7 linked regions of the Canis lupus familiaris genome follow. The protein of the gene in region 3 interacts with the protein of the main gene of each other region in a pairwise test. Links are inferred from orthologs where the notes say so. Each region holds a gene or a part of one and is shown on either strand. Other genes may lie near its edges.

Evidence for each region.
Region 1: the proteins of CREB3 (region 3) and FXYD3 interact in a two-hybrid assay, tested with the Homo sapiens proteins (2 studies listed by BioGRID and IntAct). The two-hybrid records come from large-scale screens. The link is inferred for Canis lupus familiaris from reciprocal best matches to the Homo sapiens genes CREB3 and FXYD3.
Region 2: the proteins of CREB3 (region 3) and UNC50 interact in a two-hybrid assay, tested with the Homo sapiens proteins (2 studies listed by BioGRID and IntAct). The two-hybrid records come from large-scale screens. The link is inferred for Canis lupus familiaris from reciprocal best matches to the Homo sapiens genes CREB3 and UNC50.
Region 4: the proteins of CREB3 (region 3) and NKG7 interact in a two-hybrid assay, tested with the Homo sapiens proteins (2 studies listed by BioGRID and IntAct). The two-hybrid records come from large-scale screens. The link is inferred for Canis lupus familiaris from reciprocal best matches to the Homo sapiens genes CREB3 and NKG7.
Region 5: the proteins of CREB3 (region 3) and FAM3C interact in a two-hybrid assay, tested with the Homo sapiens proteins (2 studies listed by BioGRID and IntAct). The two-hybrid records come from large-scale screens. The link is inferred for Canis lupus familiaris from reciprocal best matches to the Homo sapiens genes CREB3 and FAM3C.
Region 6: the proteins of CREB3 (region 3) and FAM3A interact in a two-hybrid assay, tested with the Homo sapiens proteins (2 studies listed by BioGRID and IntAct). The two-hybrid records come from large-scale screens. The link is inferred for Canis lupus familiaris from reciprocal best matches to the Homo sapiens genes CREB3 and FAM3A.
Region 7: the proteins of CREB3 (region 3) and BCL2L1 interact in a two-hybrid assay, tested with the Homo sapiens proteins (2 studies listed by BioGRID and IntAct). The two-hybrid records come from large-scale screens. The link is inferred for Canis lupus familiaris from reciprocal best matches to the Homo sapiens genes CREB3 and BCL2L1.

The regions. Positions count from the first base shown.
Region 1 is NC_049222.1:118,298,803-118,302,834, reverse strand, and holds the start of FXYD3 (FXYD domain-containing ion transport regulator 3), read left to right. Parts: upstream 1-1,232; 5' UTR 1,233-1,369; intron 1,370-1,453; exon of another isoform or gene 1,454-1,598; intron 1,599-2,743; exon of another isoform or gene 2,744-2,750; intron 2,751-4,032. UniProt on the Homo sapiens protein: Associates with and regulates the activity of the sodium/potassium-transporting ATPase (NKA) which transports Na(+) out of the cell and K(+) into the cell.
Region 2 is NC_049231.1:45,120,337-45,124,548, reverse strand, and holds the start of UNC50 (protein unc-50 homolog), read left to right. Parts: upstream 1-1,412; 5' UTR 1,413-1,524; intron 1,525-1,530; exon of another isoform or gene 1,531-1,664; intron 1,665-1,754; exon of another isoform or gene 1,755-1,970; intron 1,971-2,713; 5' UTR 2,714-2,717; coding exon 2,718-2,997; intron 2,998-3,739; coding exon 3,740-3,860; intron 3,861-4,212. Other genes in the region: COA5 (cytochrome c oxidase assembly factor 5), read right to left, coding at 1,258-1,356. UniProt on the Homo sapiens protein: Involved in the cell surface expression of neuronal nicotinic receptors. Binds RNA.
Region 3 is NC_049232.1:52,553,895-52,558,043, reverse strand, and holds the start of CREB3 (cyclic AMP-responsive element-binding protein 3), read right to left. Parts: upstream 2,801-4,149; 5' UTR 2,405-2,800; coding exon 2,312-2,404; intron 2,207-2,311; coding exon 2,059-2,206; intron 1,970-2,058; coding exon 1,902-1,969; intron 1,788-1,901; coding exon 1,698-1,787; intron 1-1,697. UniProt on the Homo sapiens protein: Endoplasmic reticulum (ER)-bound sequence-specific transcription factor that directly binds DNA and activates transcription. Plays a role in the unfolded protein response (UPR), promoting cell survival versus ER stress-induced apoptotic cell death.
Region 4 is NC_049222.1:106,223,649-106,226,895, reverse strand, and holds NKG7 (protein NKG7), read right to left. Parts: upstream 1,853-3,247; 5' UTR 1,702-1,852; intron 1,652-1,701; exon of another isoform or gene 1,464-1,651; 5' UTR 1,438-1,463; coding exon 1,281-1,437; intron 1,206-1,280; coding exon 1,059-1,205; intron 977-1,058; coding exon 842-976; intron 756-841; coding exon of another isoform or gene 728-755; coding exon 516-727; 3' UTR 501-515; downstream 1-500.
Region 5 is NC_049235.1:59,539,127-59,542,626, forward strand, and holds part of FAM3C (protein FAM3C), read right to left. Parts: intron 2,498-3,500; coding exon 2,371-2,497; intron 1,583-2,370; coding exon 1,493-1,582; 3' UTR 1-1,492. UniProt on the Homo sapiens protein: May be involved in retinal laminar formation. Promotes epithelial to mesenchymal transition.
Region 6 is NC_049260.1:123,394,522-123,396,990, reverse strand, and holds part of FAM3A (protein FAM3A), read left to right. Parts: intron 1-1,458; coding exon 1,459-1,582; intron 1,583-1,716; coding exon 1,717-1,775; intron 1,776-2,285; coding exon 2,286-2,336; intron 2,337-2,469. UniProt on the Homo sapiens protein: May act as a defensin against invading fungal microorganisms.
Region 7 is NC_049245.1:21,645,027-21,648,454, reverse strand, and holds the end of BCL2L1 (bcl-2-like protein 1), read left to right. Parts: intron 1-1,276; coding exon 1,277-1,414; 3' UTR 1,415-1,438; intron 1,439-2,841; 3' UTR 2,842-2,928; downstream 2,929-3,428. UniProt on the Homo sapiens protein: Potent inhibitor of cell death. Inhibits activation of caspases. Appears to regulate cell death by blocking the voltage-dependent anion channel (VDAC) by binding to it and preventing the release of the caspase activator, CYC1, from the mitochondrial membrane.

The sequences.
Region 1 (4,032 bases), on a different chromosome or scaffold from region 3:
GACTTCTTGATGGGAGCAGGGCGGGGGAGGCCTTGTCCTAGTCTAAGGCCTGGGATTGAAAAACTGCCTGAGGGAGCCACATAAAGAAAGCATGTATCTGGGCTTGCCTTCCTTGCTTCCCCAGCCCTTCCTGCTAGGAAGTGGGGGGGTCCTTTCTCCCTTGCCCTGCGGACAACCCCCAGCAGACAACCCCCAGCAGAGTCTTGACCTCGGAAACTCCCTTTCCCCATCCTGTACTCCGCACTCTCCCTGGCCTGGCTCCTGCAGCCCTCCTCCCCTGCCCCGAGATGGTGTTGGGGGTCGCCTGGAGTCCAGCTGGTGGCCAGTGCAGAGCCACCCCTTTCCTGGCCCTGCCCCTCCCCATGACCCCAATCCTCCGCCAGCCACTCAAAGGCGCCTTGTTCTCCATCCAGCCCCCAGACAAAAGTCCCTCTGTCTAAAAAGGCAGAATTAGGGGGAGGGGGCACCCCAACGAGGACCATGTGGGGGCCTACACAGACCCCAGCCAGAAAGAATGCCATGAGGAGGAGGGGCAGGAGGGGTGAGGGAGGGAGGGGGCCTTGCACCACTGAGCAATGGCCTTATCCGGAGTGGGAGGCAGCCTCCACCCCAACGCCCTCGGCCTGGACCCAGGCATCTGGCTCCCAGCACCCTCGGGAAGAGCCCGAGCTAGGAAGGTCTGCCGATGCTCAGAAACCAGTTCCCAATCTCTCCAGGGCACGTTGGGCACTTGGGAGCGAGGTCATAGTCTAAAGCCCGAAGGCGCCCACCTTCCACTCCTGTCACCACCTTCCACCTCATGACCTTGGTCCTATCAGCATCATCTGCTGACCCTCAAGGGGTCGGAAGCAACAGGCGATCTGGAAAGGGACTTCAGATATCCTGAAACTGCCACCAAGCCCTCCTGGACCAAGTGTAGCACACAATCTAAGTGATAGACATGAGATTATCACCCCAGTGCCTCGCCTTCCCCCCACCATTCTTCCAGACAGAAGCTTTGCTGTTGGAGACCTCAACCTTCTTCCTTCCAGGTCCCTTCCACGGGGGCGAGACATTGAAGAAAGCCCCCTGTCCTGATGTGAGGAGCAGAATCCAGCCCATCGTATGCCCCCTCCGCCTACCTGAGGCTGCTGTGACCTTGGGGACCTCAGGGAGCACCCTGGCTGGGAAGAAGGATGTGGGAGCTGTCTCTTTAAGAGCAGGAATGGGGTGAGAGAGCCCCAGAGCTTTAGGGAGTCCGACTTGTTCTCTACCTGCCCAGGTTTGCCTAGGGCGTGGCAGCTGCGGATAAAGGCAGGACTCAGGCTTAGCAGCTGCATTCCCTCCCTTCTCTCCCAGAACTTTCCAAGCCTTCTGGGGAGCCACACAGGTGAGCGGCTGGGGTCCCCTCCCTCCAACACCCTCTTGGCTCTGCCCCCAAACCACTCCAGCTTTCCCACTGATCTCTGTTAAAGACACTAACTAGAACTTCCTCCTTGCAAGGATTTTTCCGGGGAGGGGGGGGCAAGGAGCAGGAGGCAGGAGATTAGACAAAGCATCTTCCATTGGCCTGATCGGGGGTCCCCCTGACCCTGATCATTCTGCCTTGAGGGGACTGGGTGAGTGAGCTGGGACGAGGGTAAGGTCCACATGTGGAAGCGGGGTGCCTGGGTGGATCGCGGGTGTCAGAGTGGACCAGAAGCATCTGGGTTGGGCGTATCTGGGTGGACAGCGTTGGAGAGGGGTGCCTGGGTGGACGGGGGTATCCAGGTGGATCAGGGCCAGATTGAGGGTATCAGAGTGGATGCGTGGGTGGCGGGGTGGACTTGGGGTATCTAGGGATTGAGGAGTGTGGGTCCTGGAGCTTCTCAGGAAAGGGGATGGTGGCTTCCTGGGGAAGCTATAAAGTGGGGAGTTGGGTAGGAAATTCCAGGGACATGGGGGAGTCATTCTGCGTGGGCTTGATGGCCACCGTCATGGAGAGGCCAGCAGAGCGCGGACGGTGGAACCGGCCATCGCACTGGTGTTGGGACCTGCAGGGCAGGGAGGGAGCCTAGAGGGGTGTGCAGAGCCCCCATCTGCAGGCTGTCATCATCTCCAAGTCCTCACACCAACTACAGTCCCTTCGGGAGCAGCTCAGGGCCCCTTCCAACAGCAGCCTGGGCCGGGAAGGGAAGGTGAGGGCAGCCTGCACTGCAGGAGAGCCAGGCTGGAAAGTTTGTCCTGGGGCTGGGGTGCAGCTGAGATCACCCTTAGGTCTCCCCTGTGCCGGGGACGCCTGGACAGGCCCTGGGGATGGGGAGTAACAGAGCCCTCACAGCCGGGGGGACTTGGTGCATTCCATGGGAAGAGGTTTCAGAGCTAGGGACTCTGGGCCCTGGGTGAAGCAGACAGCACTAAGCTGAGTGAGCAGGGGTTACAAGGCCGTGGCAGCAACGTGGGGTGACCACGGTGCCAACATCATTGAGCGGCGAAGATTCTATGAGTGAAGAGCTGAGACCAGTGCCTGGCATGGGGTAACCGCTCAAGTAGGCCCTAGCTCTCACTACGCAGGCATCCTCTCGGGTGACAAAGCCTCACGAGGTAGCTTTATGTATTATTTATTTTTTAAAGATTTTATTTATTTATTCATGAGAAACACAGAGAGAGGCAGGGACATAGGCAGAGGGAGAAGCAGGTTCCATGCAGGGAGCCCGAGGTGGGACTCGATCCCAGGACCCTGAGATCACAACCTGAGCTGAAGGCAGATGCTCAACCACTGAGCCACCCAGGTGCCCACGAGGCAGCTTTAGAGGATAGGTGGTCCTCCTACAGACCTGCGCCCTGAGCCACCAGGCTGTCCTGCCCACACACCCGCTCCAGCTCTTCTCCCCAATCTCTGGGGTCCTAAATGCCTTAGTAATGCTCCCCAAAGCTACGGGCCCCTTCCTGCAAGAAATGGTTGCATTTGAGTCCACTGTAGGGGGTTAACCGCTGAGAGGATTGCCAGGACCTGAGTGGGCACAGGGACAGGGAGGAGTGTGTGAGAACAGGCAGGAAGGAGAAAGAAACTCGAGGTGGGGGTTACGTGGGGGGTACGAGAGAGATGGGTGGTTCTCTTCAGCTGTAGAGAGGATCCTGGGGATGGAGCAGGGAACGTCCAGGGGCTCAGTGAAATGAGGGCTGGGACAGATCACCTCCGGGGGTGCCAGGGGGTGCAATGGGTGAAGACACAGCAAGGTCGCTGGGCAGTGCCCAGCACAGGATGGGTCGGAGGACAGGCGAGTTCTGGCTGTCAGCATTTTGACAGTGTATGCTTTTGGCAGCAGGGCAGGGGCAGGGGCAGGGGCAGGGGCAGGGGCTGGGGCAAGAGCAGGGGCAGGAGCCGGGGCCGGGGCTGGGGCTGGGGCTGGGGCAGGGGCAGGGGCTGGGGCAGAGGCAGGGGCAGGGGCTGGCGCAGGGGCTGGCGCAGGGGCTAGGGCAGGGGCAGGGGCAGGACAGGGGCAGGGGCAAGGGCTGGGGCGGGGGCAGGGAGAGGACATGGGAGGGTGCACAGAGAGATGGGGCTTATCTCAGGCACTCAGGATGGGGGCAGGGTGGGCTGATACCAGACCAGGAAAGGGACGGAGGGATTCTTTTTGCTGCACAGCCCTATCTGGGGAAAGAGGAAATAATGGCTGCCAGGAAGAGCTTGGCAGGAGCTGGGGCAGGGGCAGGGGCAGGGGTAAGGGCTGGGCAGGGGCAGGAGCTGGGGCAGGGGCAGGGGCAGAAGTGGGGCAGGGACAGGAGCTGGGGCGGGGCACAGGTAAGGGCTGGGGCTGGGGCAGGGGCAGGGGGTGGAGCTGGGGCAGGGGTAGGGGCAGGGGTAGGGGCTGGGGCAGTACAGAAACCAGGGCTTCCAGGGTTGTGGAGACAGATGGGACTGGGGCTGCAGCCAGGTGGCTCCTCCCTGCTCTGGCCCCCCCCCCCCCCCCCCCCCCCCCCCCCGCACCTCCACCACCTCCACCCCAGGCTCCAGTGCTCTCCTCTGCACATCCTGCTCTGAGCAGCCTAAGGAGCCAGCTCCGGCCTGAC
Region 2 (4,212 bases), on a different chromosome or scaffold from region 3:
AATAAGTTGCTCTCCAGTGGACTCCCACGGGATGTTGTTCCTAAATCTAATCATTAAACAAATATTTACAAGATGCTTACACAGATGCTTATACTGCTGGAATTTAGACCCTTCCATGACTGTCCTTCCCATCAGACTGAGGTGATGTAGGGTATGACTGTAACCGATTCATCTTGGTATCACCAATGCCTTGACATCATGCCTGCCACTTACCAGGCATTACTAAGAGCTGACTATTTGCACCAATGAAGCAGTCGACTGGAAAAGCCCTGTGCAGGGAAGTGTAAAGTGTGAAGACAGGGCACCTCCGTTTCCTCCTCCGTGTGAGAGGGACTAGAGAGCCTCCTAAGCCCATGACAACTCAAAGTTTTAGGACAAATTGGGCAGCCAGTCCGGCTGACTGCTAAAATCAGTGAACCAAATGTAAATCCTGAATCAGCAGAAACACTGATACAGCTTTATGATGCATGTCCATTTGGGGATAGTCTTTCCCTTTGAAGAGCAAACTCTGAAATTACATCTCCAAATGCAAAAAATAATTGCACGCAACTGATTGCCCTTTCATCAGGCCTTTGTAACTGGCAAAGGCACTTGCGTTTGAGTTGGGCGCTAAGCTAGAACCCAGCTTTGGACCTCAACCGTCAACTCTGGACCTCACCGCTTGCTCTCTGCACTCAGGTTGAGAAGACATGATTGTAGTGAGGGGAGACTGCGGTGGAAGCAAGAGACAGAACAGTGAAGAAGAAAAAAAAATGGAGCCGCTTCGTTTACAACTTATTCAAGAAGGCACATAACTCCAACTCAGAAACGATTTCAAACCAAGAGAAAGTATCTATTCGACCACGACGGAACAGAGAAAGGAGAAACTACTAGTCAATACAGCGTACCAGGTTTATGTAATTCTCTGATAATTTAGATTCTCATTTTCTAGCACGCAGGAAACCGGCCTCATTCTCCTTTATACTTCCAGAACCTAGTGGAGTGGCAGGCAACATTTAATCAATGTTTCTTGAACCGAAATGGTTTATCTTTACGAGAATCCAAAGGGGAGGTTTCATGATCCCCAACCTAACACCGGAGGGAGCTGACGCTCCGACAGCCGACCCGCCCAAGTTCACCAGGCTGGCGCCGTGATCTATCCCTAGGCTGGCTGGGTCACCTCCCCTGGGCGCCACCGCAGGCTGAGCGGGAGGCGTCGGTCGGGTCCTGCCTCCCCGGTTCCAGCGTCTCCTCACCCCGGGCGCCCGGCCGCGCTACCTGGAGCACACAGTCCGACTGCAGCAGACAGGCGCCCAGGTCCTCCTTCACGCCCGCGCACGCGCCGCCCTCCGGCTTGTCCTCGTAATAACGGGGCATGACTGCGTCCCCGCCCCAGCAGCCGAGACCCGCTGGCGTCCGCAGCCGCAGCAACCCCTGTGGGGCGCAACGGACACCCGCGGAGGGAAGGAACCGGAACTTGCAGCCACAACTTCCGGCGGGCCCCCGGAAAACTACGGGGCCCGAGAGGCCGCGCGCACGGCGGAAGTGGGTGCACGTGACGCGCCGCGCCCCCTGCGCCGGCTACGTTGCGGGAAGGGAAGTCGGCCCGGCGCCTGCTGGGTCTGGCTGCTGGGCGGAGGTGGCGGGTTAGCTTGGACCTCTTGGAGGCCGCAGGGCGGCTCCAGGTGAGACCCGAGGACTGCTCCGTGCACGCGCGGCTCGGGCTCGCCGGCGCCTTTCCTCCGGCCCTTCAGGGCGCGCCGGCCCTCGGCCCCGGAGTGACCGTAGCCGCGTCCGGCGGCTCGGCCTGCGGTAGGGCTGCCAGATAAATAAGCCAACGACGCCCGTTTACGCTTAAATTTCTCATGAACGACCGACAGCGTGTCCGTGTCTGTCCCACCCAATGTTTCGGACAGTCTTCTACTGAAAGTTATACTTGTATCTGAGATTGATTCGAATGTAACTGGGCGTCCTGTGTTTTCATCTGCTAAGTATGGCGACCTTCCCCGCAGCCCCGGGGTGACGGGGAGCCTCTGGAGCCGGCGCGGCGCCGGGGGCGACCGGGAGGCCTGGGGGCGGGGCGGGAACTGGGCGGCCGGCCTGTGAGGGCTGGACGGTGAGCCGCGCTCCCCGGGCTCCAGGCTGGGTCCACCGGCCTCCCACGCTGCCATTCCCTCTGCTGAACTATTCACGGAGTAATGCACTATGGGGCTTGAATCTTGTTTTTATATCATATTCCAGTGAAAGAGTTGCTTGGTGGTCTTGCACTGATGGACCCATGTGAACATGCCATTATTTTACCTCGTCGGTAACATTGTTTCTAATTGGCTTTTAAAACCGATTCCCTTAAAAGGCCTGGTGGTTTAGAGCACGGGAGTTTTGGCTCCATAGTCCTCTCTGTGCTCCTGAGGGGGTCCCTTCACCTCCTAGTGCTTTTCTTTCTGCCTCCCTCTCCTCCCTCCCTGTGGTTAACAGTGACTACTAGGGGGAGCTTCCCCAGGCTTGAGAGAGGTGAAGCGTGGGAAACCTACAGACCCCGTAGAAGTGCTGTGAGGGTTCGGAAGGGACAGTTCTTGAGCCCCCAAATAAGCCTCAGAACCACCTCCATTAGCTTTTGACCCCTGACATTTACCAAGGATTGGGGCGGAAATGTAAGATGGCATCCCTCCTGAATATCTCAGAAGAGGATACAAGAGGATATCCTTGTAAAAGATTTTTTTTTTCTTCTATCTAGGAAGATGTTACCGAGTACTTCAGTGAATTCCCTAGTGCAGGGGAACGGAGTGTTGAATTCCAGAGATGCAGCAAGACACACGGCTGGAGCAAAACGCTACAAATACCTGAGAAGACTTTTTCGTTTTCGGCAGATGGACTTTGAGTTTGCTGCATGGCAGATGCTCTACCTATTTACTTCCCCACAGAGAGTTTACAGAAATTTTCATTACCGAAAGCAGACAAAGGATCAGTGGGCCAGAGATGACCCTGCTTTCTTGGTCCTCTTAAGTATTTGGCTCTGTGGTAAGTGTCAGTTTTTCTGTAATAGAGTTGAAGAACAGACTGGTTTGTTTTTGTTTTTTTTTTAAAAAGATTGTATTTATTTATTAGAGGATGCAGGGAAAGGGACGGATGGAAAAGGAGAAGCAGGCTCCCCACTGAGCAGGGAGCCCAACACGGGGCTCTATCCCAAGACCCAAGGTCATGGCCTGAGCCGAAGGCAGAAACTTAATCAACTGAGCCACCCTGGTGCCCCGAAACTTAGTGTTTTAGATTGTACTTGTCCTTTGCAAAATCTTTTGTTATAAACATATTGTGGGTCAGGATTTAGGATATTTGAAGCTGTTTCTTCTTTTCTGAAGCCTCAAAAATCTCACAGGAAAGAGTGTTGTTTTTTCTGGTTTCGAAGGTCCCAGGCAGATGCCAGAGTAAATTGTTTCTTCGGAACATGGAAAAGCAGAAGACAGAGTCACTCCGTGTCTTTTAACTGCTATGATAAAGAAGTTGATATCAAATGCAAACTAACTGTGAAAAGGACTATCAAGATGGGAAATTGCATTTCACGGGCAAATCTAGAGTGAGAGTGCTAAAAGTACCAATGCAAACTTGTGAAACTACTTTTAAATTCTCCAATAATGTAGTGAGAGAGTCCTAACTACCTTTAGGATATAAATGTATAAGATTTTTTTCACCTTTACCTGGGCTTAAATATGTGACTGCCTTTTCAGAACCTGTCCTGAATTTATCACACAAATCTTTCTTTCAGTGTCCACTATAGGATTTGGCTTTGTTCTGGACATGGGATTTTTTGAAACGATAAAGCTTCTCCTTTGGGTTGTATTCATAGATTGTGTAGGCGTTGGTCTTCTCATATCAACTTTAATGTGGTAAGTATCATAATTTGGATTTTTCAAGTCCTGCTGTAGAGCCTGCATTTGCTTCCTTTAGAGATACAGTAGCTGATGTGCACTGAAAGCATGAGTTTAAATTTTTTTTTTATCATTGAAATATAGTTGACACACAATGTTACATTAGTTCCAGGTGTACAACATAGAGATTTGAGATGTATATACATTATGATATGCTCACCAAGATAAGTGTAGTTACCACTTGTCACCTTACAGTGTTGTTATAAAATTGACAGTATTCCCTATGCTGTACTTTTTATCTCTGTGTCTGATTTATTTTATAACTAGAAGTTTGTATCTCTTAACCCCCTCCACCTATACCACCCATTCC
Region 3 (4,149 bases):
ATAAATAAATAAAATCTTTAAAAATAAAAACAAAACAAAAAATCTTGGGGCACCTGGGTGGCTCAGTTGGTTAGGAGTCTGACTCCTGATTTGACTTCAGCTCAGGTCATGATCTCAGGATCATGGGATGGAGTGCCGCGTTGGGCTTTGTGATTAACAGGGAGTCCACTTGAGATTTTCATTCTCTCTCCCTTGCTTTCTGCCCCACCCTGCTGCTTGCATGCACAAGCACAATCTCTCTTTAAAATAAGGAAACCGGGATCCCTAGGTGGCGCAGCGGTTTGGCGCCTGCCTTTGGCCCAGGGCGCAATCCTGGAGACCTGGGATTGAATCCCACATCGGGCTCCCGGTGCATGGAGCCTGATTCTTCCTCTGCCTCTGTCTTTGCCCCTCTCTCTCTCTCTCTCTCTGTGACTATCATAAATAAATAAAAATAAAAAAAAAAAGATTTAAAATAAATAAACCTTTAAAAAAAAATCTTTAAATTTTCCTTATCCTAAGCTAACCGACATCTGCCTCTATGATTTCTATCAATTGAACTTACCTGGTACCTATCTCTGAGACCATATAGAATGAAGGTTTTTTTTTTGTTTTTTTTTTTAAGATCTTATTACTTATTCATGAGAGACACACACACAGAGAGAGAGAGGCAGAGACACAGGCAGTGAGAGAAGCAGGCTCCACGCAGGGAGCCTGCTGTGGGTCTCGATCCCGGGTCTGCAGGATCACGCTCTGGGCTGAAGGCAGGTGCTAAACTGCTGAGCCACCCAGGGATCCCAGAATGAACAGTCTTTAATTTAAGCCATTTAACATTTCTTCAGAGTTAAAAGATCTGGGCAAAAATTTTAACTTCTCGGGATGCCTGGGTGGCTCAGCAGGTTAGTACCTCCCTTCAGCCCAGGGCACGATCCTGGAGTCCCAGGATCAAGTCCCATATCGGGCTCCCTGCATAGAGCCTGCTTCTCCCGCTGCCTGTGTCTCTGCCTCTCTCTGTGTGTCTCTCATGAATAAATAAGTAAAATCTTAAAAAAAAAAAAATTAACTTCTCACCTCTCTTCGGGATGGACTGCATCCTCTTAATATCTGTCAAAGATCTGGGTTCAAAACTAGACACTAAGATGTGCTCTGGCCAGTATAATGGAGAAGAAGATGGTCACTGCCCTTCTAGAGGCAACACCTCTACTGATACAGCCTTCAAACCCCACTCTCTGTCATCTCAAACTAACCCATCTTGTACTTTTAAGAAAATTCTCTCAACCTTCCTGTAGTGTTGGTTTCACAACAGTACCACAATACTGTGCTTGTGAAGCTGCTATTCATTGCCTGAAACTTAAAACTTGGGATTTTACAATTATTCTTGCTATATTACTTAGTCCAGCCTTGATGAACTCTAACCATTTAGCTACAGGTGGATTACCATGAGTTTGCTTGCACAGTCCCTTCCAAGACCCTACACTAATGTTGCATCGATGATTTTGAATTCTTCTCAAAGAAAACACCAAAACTTGTATGAGCCCCACAAAACCAGGATCTGCCTCTGCATCCACCATATTAACATCATGCTCCAGCTTCCTATTACCAACAAATTTGCCAAGTTTTCTAACCTCAGTCCTTCCTGACATAAAGTTAACAGAAGTGCACACTTGGGATCCACAACACATCCCTCCAGCCTTCACTCCCACCAATGGGAGTCTTACCTTAGTAAGAGGAAGCGTCCCATGCAGAGTAAGCCCCTCCTTCTCCAACAGCCTCTTCTCTTCATCTGTCAGTATCAGCCTAGCAATCTCCTGGGATTAGTTACCAGGAGGTGGGCAGCAGAGTTGCAAGGGGATGACAGAAAGGAATGGGGAATCCGCCCCCACCCGCGCAATGTGGGAATGATCCCGCCATAAATCAAGTACCTGCTCTGCGGGCTCCTCCACTTGCAGTGGGGTCGTCTGGGCCTCTTCTTTTCCATAGCTCCCACCATCTGCAAAACGAAAAGTATAAATAGCCAGACCCACGAAGCCTCTCCTCCCCTCAAACCTCACTTTCTTCCTCATCATATTTCAGACTCACCTAGATCTATGGAAACATGCTGTTGTGAGAGAGAGTAGGTGTGATCATGGTGCACGAGACAGGAATCAGAGGAGCTAAGGACGTTCAACGATGCTGGGGGACTCAGCATGGAACTCAGGAAATCCTCTGCCTCCCATTCACTCAACGCCTGCACAGGGTTCAAATAAACAAGCCTTGACCTATCAACTACCCACCACCCCATGAACGCTCTCCCGGGATCCCCGCGCCTCCCCGGCTCGCAGCCCCCACCCACCTCGGAAAGCGGCGGCCCGGCCCCCAAATCGCCGCTTTCCTCTAGCAGGAAATCCAGCAGGTCCTGGTCACCCAAGTCCAACGCCAGCTCCATACCGGATAACAACCGGAAAGATGTACAGAGAGACCTATCCGCAAGCCCGGACCTGTCGCTCTGAAATTGCACCAGCCCCCAAGACCCGATTCTCCGCAACTTCCAACACCACGGAAGTGACGCGCACACCCCCGAGGCACCACGGGATTTGGAGTTCCCTCCGACGCGGAAGTGGCCTAGCCGCGGCGCGCCACGTCCCGGGAGCTCTGCAAATAGAGGGGACGTCCCTGCGGCCTCCTCACACCCTGAGGGCGGGCAATCTGGGAGGCCGCCTCCGCCTCGGCCCCAGGCTGAAAAAAAAGGAAGGGTTAGAGACCAAAGGGGAACTCGCGCGCAGTTCGGGCGTCTTCCCGGATTGCGCCGCACCCTTGTTTCCTGCCGGGGGAGCCGGCCGGGGGGCGGGGGGGGGCGCCTTTTTAAGGCCGGCTCCCGAGCATCGAGAGCTGGGGCCAGAGCAGCTTCCTGTTGCCCCCACAACCATAGAGCGCGGGCCCAGGGCGCCGCCCGCGGGTGGGGGACGTTCCGGGGACGGAAGTGGCCGAGAGAGTGTCGAAGGGAGGGCGAGGCCGAAGCCCGATTACCACCGGGAGAGCGAGCGGGTTATCGGGCCGGCGGGCGGGGCACGAGCCGGGCAGCGCAGGTAGGCCGGACCGGGCCGAGCCGGAGCCTCAGGGTGGGGCCGCACGGCCAGGACCGGGAAGCGAGCGCGAGCGCGGGTGGCAGCGCGGGTGGCAGGGCGGGCGGGGCCCTTGCGTCCGCTGTTTCGGGTCCTGTTGGAGAGGTCAGCGTCCAGTGTATCTCGGCTTGGGATCGGAAGTTAAGTAGGTCGTTTTAAGGGAGCCAAGCCTTTCCTGGGATCAAGTCCTCTCTGTCTGGAATAAGTTTTGGGGAGGGTGAGGAGTTGGGTGACAGTGAGGCGCAGGGCGGGGATCGGCTTTGAGGTTAGCTGATAGTGAGTATGCGGGTAGGAAAGCTGGGGGTGAGTTTGGGAATTAGGTAGAGTTGGGTTTAGGAATTAAAGGTTAGCTTACGGAGTTAAAAACCGGAGTTGACATTTAGAGTTACCAGTGTGAGTCGGGTCCGTTTTATGTAGGTAGAGTTTGGATTAGGTCATTATTCTGTTTCTGGCCAACGTAAGTCAAAGTTAGGGTTCAGGGCCGGTTTAAGGGTCAACACAGGATTTAAATTAGAAGTCCAGTTTTTTAGGGATTAGAGAACATTAGCATGGAACTAGGGATAAATCGCGAAGGGATGGATCAGAAGTCAAGTGAGACAACAGTTTTAGGCTTAGAGATCAACATTTAGAGTTAAGGTCAGGAAATTCATTCCTAGAGGTAAAAAGTAGATCAATATTAGGGATCAAGGATTGGGGACGGGTGTCTGCCAGGAAAGGGATGAATGTCAAAGCCAGTGTTGGGAAACAGGAACCAAATTAGGGTCAGGGTTAATATTAGGGATTAGGGTTAGTTTTATGGGGGTTATGGCTGAGGTTAGGGTAGCTGACCTTGGATATATTGAATTTAAGAGATTGGCAGTAGGTAGGTGCTCTCGTTTTGCAGGGAGGTCTCATTCCTACGTAGTTTCAGGGGTTCTCTAGCCCAGAGATAGGATAAACTCATTTCAGGTTAGGGATCTGGGCTTCAACTAGAATTGCAGGTATCTGGGATTCTAGCTTCTTTATTTCTGTTCTCTAAATCCAGTGTTCTTGCTGTGGTCACCATGGTTGAGGGGCAAGGGTTTATGGA
Region 4 (3,247 bases), on a different chromosome or scaffold from region 3:
AGACCCAGCAGGAAAGATGAGCTCAGGAAAAGCCAGCTGAAGGAGTAAGTGAATTAATGAAGTGGGCAAGGAGGACCAGAGTGAAGACCAGGGTGACAAAATCAGAGCAGGAGTGAGATGGAAAGATAAAGAAGAAAGAGAAAGGACAGAGAGTCTTGAGGTGGAAACAGGGAGAAAGATAAGGGCAAGAGAAGGAAAAGACATGGGACCGTGCCTGAATCCACACAGTCGTGTGCGGGAGCTACCTGAGCACAGGTGGGGGTTCTGACTCCTTTCTGTGTGCCTAGTGTCCCCACCTTGGAGCTCAGTTTATGTCGTGTCGGAATTAATCTCAGAATAACCAGATTCCAGGATGCCTGGGTGGCTCAGTGGTTGAGCATCTGCCTTCTGCTCAGGTCATGACCCCAGGGTCCTGGGATCGAATCTTACATCAGGCTCCCTTCAGGGAGCCTGCTTTTCCCTCTGCCTGTGTCTCTGCCTCTTTCTGTGTCTCTCACAAATAAATAACTAAAATCTTAAAAAGAAAAAAGAAAGATTAACCAGATCCCAGCAAATTTTTGTTGAATGGATGAAGAAACAAATGAAGGGGTCTCAGGAGGGCTAGGGGTAAGGGCTAGAGGGAGGCCTGTGGGTGCCTGCGGCTCCTGACGACATCTTCTGTGACTACTGCTTCTTCCTCCTGGTCTCGCCTTCAGCTCACAAGGTGTCATAGCCAGGCCGGGAGGCTCTACAATAAGCACTCAGACTCAGGCTACCTGGTGTGGCAGAGAGAGGTTAGCGCTTGCCCCCACTCTGCTCTCTCAGACCCCAGACCGCCTCCAGTTCCCAGAGCAACAGTCACCTGTACAGAGCAACAGGACAGTCGAAACCCAACCCAGGTAGAAGGACCAGGAGAAGAAGGTCTGGACCTGGGGGCTGTGAGGCTGGTTCCACCGCTCACTGGTATAGACCACCATGGCCACCATCGCAAAAAGGCCTGAGGATGGAGAGGAGAGACAGGGCTCAGCCCCTCTGCAGGAACTCCGGTCCCCAGTGCCCAAGTACAGCCCAGAGTCTACCTGCAGCAAAGGCTGTGACAGAGGAGATGAGGCGCCCGTGGCCTGGAAGGGACAGTAAGGGGATGTAGGACAGGACCAGGAAGATCACCGACACCAGGACCGACAGACTAGCCAGAATGGTGAGGCTCTGCGTCGCACGGATGTAGTCTGTACGGAGGTGAGATTTTGGTGCCTGCCCCTCTGGCAGCCCACCGCCCCCAACAAGAGACCCCTCTCCCTTACCTGCTACTTTGTTATAAACCCCCTTTGGCCAGAGGCCGGAGTGAAATGTAAAGCTGGGCCCCATGGCCACGAACCAGAAATCCGTACTCAGAGCAATCAGGATGGACACCAGGCCCAGGGAGCCAGTGAGTAGAGCCAAGGACCGATAGGGCTCCATGTAGGTGAGCACTGGGTGTCTGGGTCCTGGAGATGAAGAGGCTGGTAACCTGGGCGGATGGGTCCTCTGAGCTCAAGAAAGAGACTCAAGACTTTAAAACCAAGCTGGTTTGGTTTTACACAGTTCCGGGTAACTGACTCTTGCCTTACACCCTCCCTTCCTGGTTGCCCTGTCCTCCCCCCGCACAGGTCCAGTTCTCCTCATAGTGTGTGGTGGGGGAGGGTGTCATATCATCAGTGGTTTGGGTGGTGGTTCAGAACTTACCTCTGTTTTAGGTTCTATACCTCCCACCCTTGGAACCCTCAACATCAGAGGAGACTTCTTCCTGGAAGAGGTGTGAGAGAGGCTTGGGGGCCTCAGGGTGGAAGGTGACAGATGAGACCAGGGTGTGAGTTAAATGGGGGGGATGTGGCCAAAGGGGACAGTTAGGGGTTGTGTCATGCTTTCCTGTGGGTTCTGCAACCTTCCATTCTGGAAGAGGGGGCCCCAACTCTAGTGTCTCTGCGGAAGGAGGGGCCTGGAGGCCAGGATGCTTGCAACTGAAGGGATAGAGGGCTGGAGGCCTGGACTTGGGTCCTGAGGAAGAGGCAAGCAAGCAGGGTCTCAGACTCCTGGATCCCTGCCTGGAGCTTTTACCCAAGACAAGCAAACAGTGGAGAATCACAATTCTGAAAGTTTGTGGAGAGCATGACATGCCCACATCCTCCTCTGATGAGAGTTCACAGAGCTCTACTTTGAGCAGGGCCTCCAGTGTGATGGGCTTCATTGCCAGGATCAGGGTGCCTGAGGGACACAGGCAGGCACACAGGACCCTCCCACCCTCCAAGCACTAGCCGCCTCTTCCCATACCAGCAATGGGCCCTAAGCAGTGCCTCACCTCACCAATGAGCAGGTATAAGGTAAAGGTGCCATAGCCCAGGTAGAAGGTGCAGGCCATTCCTCATGGCCTAGAAGAGGACCCCTGTCATGAAGCCAGCAGTCCCACAACAGCTGGTAAAATGGAGACCCAAGAGTGACTCAAGTGGCCAGGGCTTCTTCCATCTTCCATCATTGGAGACTCCAGTTTGCAGTCCCCCATCTCTCACCCAGACCCTCATCACTGACGTAACTGGCCACTCCTGAGAACATGTTCACAAGGACAGGCTCTCAGGGGCAAATTCAGGTCAGCAATAACAAGGGCACCAATACAAAAATGGCGGTGCATATAACTCTAGTGAAGAACAGCAGACAGGCTTCAGGAAGTCTGGGCCATGGGTGTGTGGTGAAGGGAATGTCAGGGCACAGAGGCCTTCTGTGATGTCTACCCCATCTAAAACCCAACCCCATTCTCATTTCCAAACCTAACCCCAAATTCAACCCCATCCATAACCCAGCTCTACGCACAAACTCAACCCCAACCTGATTCCTAAAGCAAGCCCTATTTACATCATCAAGACCAGCTCTAAAGCCAGTCACATCCCCAACCCTAAATATGATCCACTCCTTAACCCCAGTTCCAACCTCTAATTTAATCCCATCCTCCAACCTAACCTAACCTCCAACTTCTTGGAGAAAGAAACTCTGCCCCAACCCCATCTCCAAATCTAAGCTTAGCCCCAGACTCAAACCCATCCTCATCCCAAGAGACTTAACCCTATCCACATTCCCATCCCCATGCCAGATCACACTTATAGCCCCACCCCCACTTTCTCATCCCCTACCTCACCCCCCATAATTCCTATCTCGACCCTACTCATTCTTCTCTCCATTCCACCTCCAGGCCCATGCCTGTAACCCTGTTTCATCTCCCTTTACTTTTGAGTTTGTTTCT
Region 5 (3,500 bases), on a different chromosome or scaffold from region 3:
GTCTGAAAAGTTCACAAAAATTCTTTTAAATGTGTAAGGTGCATTTATCCTTGAATTACATTCAGTTTGAGAGAAGAACCAGTACCCCAAAGTTCATTAATATTTAAGAAATAGCTGAACAGCTTCCAAGTTGGTTTACAGCAAAATAAAAATACTGCCTTTAGGTTTTTTTATACAAGTTTTCTAAAATTTAGATTCAAAATTTAAGTGCTGCCTTTTATGGTGAGTAGTTTGATCATTAATTTATGTTCCAGTTTAAGATACTTCATACACCGTAGGTATTTAATGCCCCAACAATAAAACAAAACAAAAACAAAATAAACTAGAGTCATTTAGTGAACATCTCAAATGAACAAAATTTTATGCAGAACTGGGTATGAAGTCATCTGGAGTCAAACAAAATCACTTTTTTAAATGTTATCAGTCCACTCAGTAATGAAGACTTTCCTACATACGTCGTCGTATCTTCAGGCAAAAACTATTACGAAATTAGATGAAGTAACTACAGAATTGTGTTTCTTGGTTTACCATCAAAATGATGGTGATATTAAAGCATGCCTCTTTCCAAACCGCTTGGCCAATGCTGATAACAAGCAGGCAAGGAGACATCTGCCAGCGTTGCCCCACGGCCCCCGCCGCGACTGTCCCCCAGCAGCCGGTCCGGGCGGGGAAGCCAGGCGGCCGCTTCCCGGGGGGGTCCTGGGGGCCGCGCGCTACGCAGGTCTGTAAAATCCAGTTACTCACGCTGCCCACTCAAAACCCAGACTGCGCCAGCCCTGAACACCAGCTACCTCTACAGAGTTCCTTTTTTACTGGGTACGTTAAAAAAAAAAAAAAAAAGAAAAGAAAAACAACAACAAAAAAAACATGTTGTTGTGCTTTTCACACATCTGATACAGGTTTTCATATCATTTACTCTTAGGTTTTTGGGAAGAGAAGAGAAACACTAAGAAAATAGGTATGCCAGAGAGTCAGACTGCAAAATAACGCCGCACACACGCAACTAGCCAAGCATCTTTTTAATTTAAAAGATACTATCATTAAAAGGCAACATACATATATATATATATACATATCTATACATGAACGTATATATATATATACATATAGAAAAGAAAGTCTCCTCCTCAAAATCCTTATTACTCGACGATAGGTTTTCACAGCAACCAGTCTATGTATCAGTATGTTTTTCACCCTCTGTTCAGGTGGCACCGGGTACGCCTCCAGAATAAAGGCCGTCGTTCCTGCAGGCGTCTAACACTCTACTATTATTAGGGAAATGTGCTTAGAAATGGTTCAGTGATTTGCTCATTATGATGACTATTTACAAAGGCATCTATTTACGTCAGCAATAAATAATCCTGATATCAAAAGGGATGATGCTCATGCACACATCGAGATGGCTGCATGCTCCGGGAGTATTTACACGTGGCTTCTCCGTCTCAGCTCTGCCAGGAATAGTGAAAGTGCGTTTCCCTCAGCGTCCCCGGCGTTAGTCTTGCTTCTGGGGGATGCATCCTTCCATTTCGACCACCTCGGGCCATCCTTCGTATTTGTTTGTGTCCTTGTTGTTCTTTATGTGCTGTTGGAATACAGTAATACACACGGTTTAAAAATTTTTTTTTAATTTTTATTTATTTATGATAGTCACACACAGAGAGAGAGAGAGAGGCAGAGACATAGGCAGAGGGAGAAGCGGGCTCCATGCACCGGGAGCCCCATGTGGGATTCGATCCCGGGTCTCCAGGATCGCGCCCTGGGCCAAAGGCAGGCGCTAAACCGCTGCACCACCCAGGGTTCCCAATACACACGGTTTAAAGGAAGAAAACGCTTTATGAACAGTTTGCCTCCTGTCACCGGCTTTGGTGAACTCGCTTCTGCGACACCCGTGGCCGCGAGGAGGCCACACATGTTACGGCGCCAGACAGGCAACGAGAACCCTCGGGCCGGGCAGGCTTCCGAGGAACAGCCCAAAGAACAACACAGCGGTCAGGCCTACATTCGACCGCATTCTGGAATATTTCTAAACTTAGCAGATTATAGAGTCAAAAGCCTGATTGGACTCGTTAGTGACGAACGCTTCCTAAATGGCCCGTGACAGCAGCAAACATATATGCCGGGAACTGTGTCACAGAAGGGAAAAATTTCCCATGCAGAACAGAATCGGACTATTTTTCAGGTTTGATTTTAAAACAGGGCCATGGGCATTCCAAATACCTGATTACCAGGAGCTTCCGAAAAATACGTGAACACACTTAATGGCTGCTTTGTCAAAGGGCCAAATAACCAGGAGAGGAATATACACGCCACACGGTTTCACGCAATTTCCTTTTGTCCGTTAATTGTGAAAGTCTAAGAGAAGACACTAACCTGTTCAAAGGGGCTCTTTGTCTTGATGCCTTTCCCACCACAGAAGACCCAGTTGTCTCTAAAACCAAGGTTAGTAATAGACGTACTCCCCAACTCAGCAATGAGCCGTCGTGCCTCATCGTTGAGTCTTGAAGAGGAAGAAAAAAAATCATCAACACAGAGCACTGTATATTATCTAAGTAATACTGACGCACCAGTAGGTTAACATGCACCATGAGATAAAATGAGAAAATACCAGCTTAAATAAAGAAGAGAACATTAAAAAATACGGAATTTCTTTTCAGAGCACCATTCCTATTTGAGTTCTCTACTGACAAAAGACGTGAAATCGAGCATTTCCTTTTAAGTTTATTCTATCAGGAAACACCTTTTGGATGTCTTTGTCTTACAATGATTCACTTTCATCTACATCCACCAAAAGATAAGGGATGCCGCAGCTAGTAGGTGCCTACCTCGGCGAATACAAGGTCTTAAAGCCACCACTGCCTTCTTCATGACATTAAAAATCACTTTGAATTTCCACTAATCCCTTGGTAAGTTACATTTGAATAAAGGTAGACGCTGGCAGAAATACAGGTGTTTCTAATACTATGTTTTATTTACATGAGCCTTGAGAATAGGTATATAAATTATACTTCAGTAATAACTGTCGAGTGGTTACTTAATAAAAATGAACGGAAACCAGACAGCGGTGAGGTACCTGCCAACGAGGAAGGGCAGTGGCTAAAGTCATGTGGCGAGGAAAGAGCTAATGAAAAATGGCATGAAGACATTTTGTGGGGACGCCTGGGGGGCTCAGCGGTTGAGCACCTGCCGTTGGCTCAGGTCATGACCCCGGGGTCCTGGGATCGAGTCCCGCATCGGGCTCCCTGCATGGAGCCTGCTTCTCCCTCTGCCTGTGTCTCTGCCTCTCTCTCTGTGTCTCTCATGAATCAATCAATAAAATTTTAAAAAGAAAAAAAAAAGAAATCTGCGTCGGTTATTATCCTAATGCAAGTATTCTCAATCTCCCCTCTGTGTCACTCACAAAAGAGAAGTTCAGCAGATACATGCTAGATGGAGAGGGGGGAAAAAAAAGGCAGTAAATCCTATGTATCTCCCAAAAGACGGCAGTTACAGGTCACTTAGGT
Region 6 (2,469 bases), on a different chromosome or scaffold from region 3:
AGAAGAATCATCTGGGCCCGTGCTGTCCCTGCCCTCTGCAGCCGCTGCTCTGCCCTCAGAGCACTCCTTGCTTCTTTCCATCCTGTTTCTGTCCCTGTCGGCCCACGATGGCAGCGTTTCCGCCGGTATAAAATCCTCAAAAACCTTGTTGTTGTGTTGTTGCGATTCATGAGGCTCAGCCGTGAGACAGGAGGGCCCTGCAGGTCTCTCCTGGATGCTCCCGCTCGATGCCCGGCCCTCCAACCACAGCCTTGCTCTTCTATCCAGAGCCTGCTTTCTCGCGTTTCGCACTAGCGCTAGACCGAGTATTTTCCAAGCGTTCACATTCTGGTTCCTCTGTGCTTGGCAATTCTGTTTTCAACGGCTCTTCCTGGGAGCAAACGGGAGAAACCAGGCTGTGCCCTCAACGCTGCGTGGGGAGGTGTCCTCACCTAAATATCCAAGGTCCGCACTTACAAGTCCCGTTCTACACAGAACGTTGGAATAGGATGTGGCCGAGTCGTTGGCCCCCTTCTGACAAGGCCCGCCTTGTCCGTCCGTATTGTACCGGCAGTCCCATGAGGCAGTCTCGGCCTGGCCTAGCTGCCCCTCGGAATCCTGCAGCCATTTCCCACATGGGGGACCTGTAACGGCAGCAGCCCCCAACACCTGCGGTGAAGATCTGTCTCCGTTTCCTGGGGCAGCTGGGATAACCTACCACACACTGGATGGATTAAACGCCACACATTTCTTGTCTCAGGAATGTTCGGGAAGCTGGAAGCCTGAAATCTAGCTGTTGGAGGGTCACAGCCCCTCTGCAGGCTCCAGAGGAGGGTCCTTCCTGCCTCTTCGGGCTTCCGGGGGCCCCAGGGGATCCTTGGCTCGTGGCTGCATCCCTCCCGTCTGCGCCTCTGTCTGCGCTCAGTCCTCTCTGTCTCGGTGTCTTCTTTTCTGCCTCTTATAAGGACCCTTGTCATTGGATTTCGGGCCACCCTGATCCAGGATGAGCTCATTTTAACAAATCATATCTTCAGTGACTCTATTTCCAAACAGGGTTATATGCGTAGGTGCTAGAATTAGGACCTCAACACGTGTTTCATGGGTTACAGTCCAACCTGTGACGGAGGCCACCCTCCTCCTGCCCTGCCACCTCTGCCCATGGGGGTCAGGTGCTCTCCTCGTCACCGCATTCCTGCGGTCGCCCTCCCAGCTGCTCCCTTCCCCACCTCTGCTCTGTTCCTGCCAGGGCCACAGCCAAGGCCAGCCTTCCTACCTCTTGTCTCCCGCCAGTGGCAGAAAAGCCCCCCTGAGGTCCTGTCGCCTTGCCCTGAGGCCAGCCCCAGGAGGATGCGGTGTCGGTGGAAGTATCCCTGTTCTGTGGCCACTCTTACCCCCTGTGGGCCGGTCCTGACCTCCCCCCCTCAGATCTCAGGTGACCCGGGGCCAGGCCCATGGGTCACCCCTGCTGTCCCTGCCCAGAGCCACGAGCCCGGAAGTACAAATGCGGCCTGCCCCAGCCATGTCCCGAGGAGCACCTGGCCTTCCGCATGGTCAGCGGAGCTGCCAATGTCATCGGACCAAAGATCTGCCTCGAAGATAGGATGTGAGCTCTGTGGGCTGGACGGGGGATGCCGGGGCGGGGGGGAGGGGGGGACCAGAAGCTGGATCTGTGAGGGAGAGTGGAGCGAATGTGCCATCTGAGGGCCCTGCCTCCCCGCTCCCCGCTCCCCCCGCTAGGCTCATGAGCAGTGTCAAGGACAACGTGGGCCGGGGACTGAACATCGCCCTCGTGAATGGTGAGTCCCTGTGACGTGGGATCAAGGTTCAGAGCACAGAAGCAGAGCCAGCCCGTGACCTGCCACCCTGCCCCCGCCCCGTGCTCTCCCCGTGAGCAGGTGTCTGGATATTTGCCTTGGTCTTCCCCCCGCCTCCCTGCTGGGAATGCCCAGGGAGGCCTGGGAAACGGTCTGTGCCAGCAGAAGCTTCCCCAGAAGAAGTGACCCAAGAAACAAAAGCACAGTATCCCTAAAGAACCAGAAGCTTCCAAGAGGTTGGAGGTGCTTCCTAGGGAGCCCCTGGAGAGCCTCCAATGGCACACAGAACCGGCACAGCCTTGGGTGGGCTGCAGCCGTCCGAAGAAGGGGGCACAGTGGGCATGAATATGGAGGCGTGTCTGAAAAGCTTCCAGAAGGTCTGCACCAGTGGCCACCGCTGTGTCCTTAGCTTCACCTCAGGGGGCTGAGGTGGTAGGGTGGAGCTGCCCTGGCGGCTCGCCCAGCAGGACCCCTCTCTCCCTCTCAACCCAGGGGTCAGCGGTGAGCTCATCGAGGCCCGGGCCTTCGACATGTGGGCAGGAGGTGAGTGGCCGCCATGGCCTCCTGCTTTTTGCCTGTGCAGCAGAATGACCGAGCATCTCTCCCCTGAAGCACCGCCCTCTGTCCATTCACTGTGGCTTGAGCACTTGCCTGGGTTTGGGAAAGGCAGGGAGAG
Region 7 (3,428 bases), on a different chromosome or scaffold from region 3:
TAAGTGCCATGATCTGATCTATGTTTTTAAAAATCCTCCATATGGAGCATGGACTGAGCAAGGTTATCAAGACCAGAAGTAAGGCCAGGCAGGTCTCACTCACAGTGAGCAAACTGGCCTGGTGGAACTTGGAACCAGCTGGAGATGGCAGGTGTTGTCTGAGGGAGCAGCCACCACTGCCAGTTGGGACCAGGTGGAAATGAGGGCCCAGGCTGTGAGCTCTTAGTGGAGAGGAAAATCATGGGCTCTGTTCATTCATCGGTAATCCATTCACACTAAACACGCATACTCCCTAGGCCCAGAGGCTCCAGTCTGTAAATGGGGAGAGAGGGCCTGCACTGCAGCATCACTGAGAGGATTACAGGACAAATGGGGTGCAAAGTTTACTCATTAAAGGGTGCCCCACACGCTGGCTCCGCCCCGGGGTGGGTAATTTAACCCACAGCCCCACCTTCCCCATATCATGTGCTTCCCTCCTGACTGCTAAGGGCTGTTGCTCACCTCCTTCTGGGCCCAGAGTGTGTGTGTGTGTCTCTCTCTCTCTCTCTCTCTCTCTCTCTCTCTCACACACATACACACACACACACACACACCAGGGGGTGGGGGACAGCGACAGGGCTTCACAGATCCCATCCTAGGCCGGCATGTAGAAGGTATCCCTCTACTCTGCCCTCAGTGTCTACCCACCAGCCTCCCCTCCCTTCTCCAGAGGGAGAAGGAGCCTCGGGCCAATAGTACCTGGCCTTCCCCTGAATCGCTGGGAATTTAGCCCTGTCCCCTCTCCCTCCCTCCCTCTCTTAGTTGCATTGGTGCATCAGCAGGAAAGCTAAGGCCTAGTGGGTGTGCACTATGCACAGACTCCACCCTCCTCCTCAGCTTCTAGACCACTCATGGACCAGCTGTGGCTCATGGTGTCTCCCCATCCCTTTCTCTCCAGCCCTGCACTCCAGCCACCTAGCCTCCTGTTACTTCCCTGCCCCTGCTGATCTCTTTCCTGATGCAGGTTCTCCAGTATGACTTTTTAGCCAGTTCACCTTGAACAAAGCTCTTCCCAGCTTTGCACCCTTATGTCAGCTATAAAGTGCATTGGTCATCCCCAGCTGGGCGGCAAGAAGGAGGGCAGCCATGAACCCTTTACTTGGCCCAGAGTGGGCATGGATGGCTATAGTTTTTCAAATCACTATTGCATGCAGGTGGCCCCTTCTCCCACCCACCCACCCATATTATTGTCATAGAACTCAAACAACACCATCCTTTCTCTTCTCTATCCCTGCAGGATACTTTTGTGGAACTCTACGGGAACAATGCAGCAGCCGAGAGCCGGAAGGGCCAGGAGCGCTTCAACCGCTGGTTCCTGACAGGCATGACTGTGGCTGGCGTGGTTCTGCTGGGCTCGCTCTTCAGTCGGAAATGACCAGACACTGACCACCCACTTACCCTCCCACCCCTGTCCTGCCCCTACCACACCCCTTTGTCCAGCCACCATTGCCACCAGGAGAACCACTACATGCAGCCTACGGCCACCTTCCCATCACAGGGTTGGGCATAGACCAGGTCTCCCGCAATTAGTTTTCTAGAATCTACCACGCTTCTGTGAGAGCCGCCTTCCCCACACCTCAGTTCTCTGGCCTCAGAACCCACAAGGTTTCCCCAAAATCTGCCCCATGGAAGCTGGCAGGTGTGGGGGTGTTTGTGGCTGGGGGCTGGAGTCCCTGCCTAATTGGTGGAAAACCCCTTAGCCTCACCAAGAATGCTTTCCTGCCAGGTAGCTGGAAAGTTTCTGACCTTTTTCCCCAGAAGGAGAGACTAGATTGCCTTCGTTTTGATGTTTGTGGCCTCAAAATTAATCATTTCCTATCCCTTCCAGAACCTAGGCTCCCCTTCCTTTCATCCCTTTCAAGAGCCACTTAGGGGCCACTTCTGACTAATTAGGGATTCAAGCTGCTTGGGATAAAGAAACAAGGACCAGGACCTCCTCCCCACCTCTGGCCTGGCCAAAGTCCTTGACCCCAATCCCAATGTCCTCCAAAGGCCCCTGGATAGAGGCCAGCCCCACCCAGGAGGAAGAGGGCTGTAGCTGCAGGAAGCACCCCGTGCCAAAGCTGGGGTGGCCCTTGCAGTTTAGCACCACCCCAGTTCCTTTCCCCTTCCCCTCCCTTGGCTCCCATGACCATGACTAAGGGACCAACTGGGCTCAAGGCAGGTGCCCCAGAGCTGTTGATGGCTTCAGCTGCCTGACTTTCCTGCAAGAAGATCAGCGTGTGGCATCTTTGCCTGGAGCTACTTGCCCATGGAGCCCAGGGATTCGGGGGCCTTGGCCCAGAGGTGAAGGGGAGCTACAGGGAGCAGCTGTGGGAGCCCTAGAGTCTTCCCTACCTCAGGCAGGAAGGGCAGGAAGGAGACCCTGATGCACAGGGTGGAGGTGGGGGTGGCAAGAGGGGCCAGACCTACCTGGCCAAACAAATATATGCCCCACTCCCATTCAGCCTGGGGTGCCAGGCTGCCAAGGTCAGAGTGGCCTGGCCAGGAGTCCTTCAGGCCTCCCTCTCCTCTACTCCACCCATGGCCTGTCTCATCCCTGGGGGTCCCGGCCTATCCCTGGCCATCCTGGGCTCTCTGCTGTACATATTTGAGACTAGTTTTTATTCCTTGTGAAGATGATATACTATTTTTGTTAAGCGTGTCTGTATTTATGTGTGAGGAGCTGCTGGCTTGCTGTGCGTGTGCACGTGGAGAGCTGGTGCCCGGAGACTGAACGGCCTGATGCTCCCTCCCCTGCCCTGGTCTGGGGAAGCCAGCTGGGGGTCCTGGCTCCTAAGGGGCACCTGTCCCCCCCCCCAACTCCCCCCCACACTTGTTCCAGCTCTTTGAAATAGTCTGTGTGAAGGTGAAAGTGCAGTTCAGTAATAAACTGTGTTGACTCAGTGAGCAAAGGGCCTGGGCTCTTGTGTGCCCTGGGCTGGGGAAGGAGGGGCTGTGCGGTTGGCAACAGGGCTGCAGGGGAGCTGCGCATCACTGCTGGCTCTGCTGCCTTCAGGAGAGGGCCTTGGACAAGTCCCTTCTTCCACCTGGGCCTGAATTTCTCCACCTATTCTTTGATGGGGGTTTTATTGAACACCTGCTGTGTGCTAAGCAATGGGTATGTGGGAGCAGGATGGATGGATGGACACAGTCTCTGCCCTCAGGAACTGACATTCTAGGAGAAAAAACAGCCACTTGGCAAGTGTTTACTGAGTCCTGCTCTGCCCAGGCACACTCCTAGGCACTGGGGATTCTACAGTGAACAAAGCCCTTCCTTTATGGAACTCGCATTCTTGGGAGACAGACAAAATATAAGGATGAGACAGTCTGGCTGTTGGAGGGCAAAGGTAGAAGCTAAATGACCATAAGGAAGAAGGACAAGACTTATGAAGGACCTAGTGGGGAAG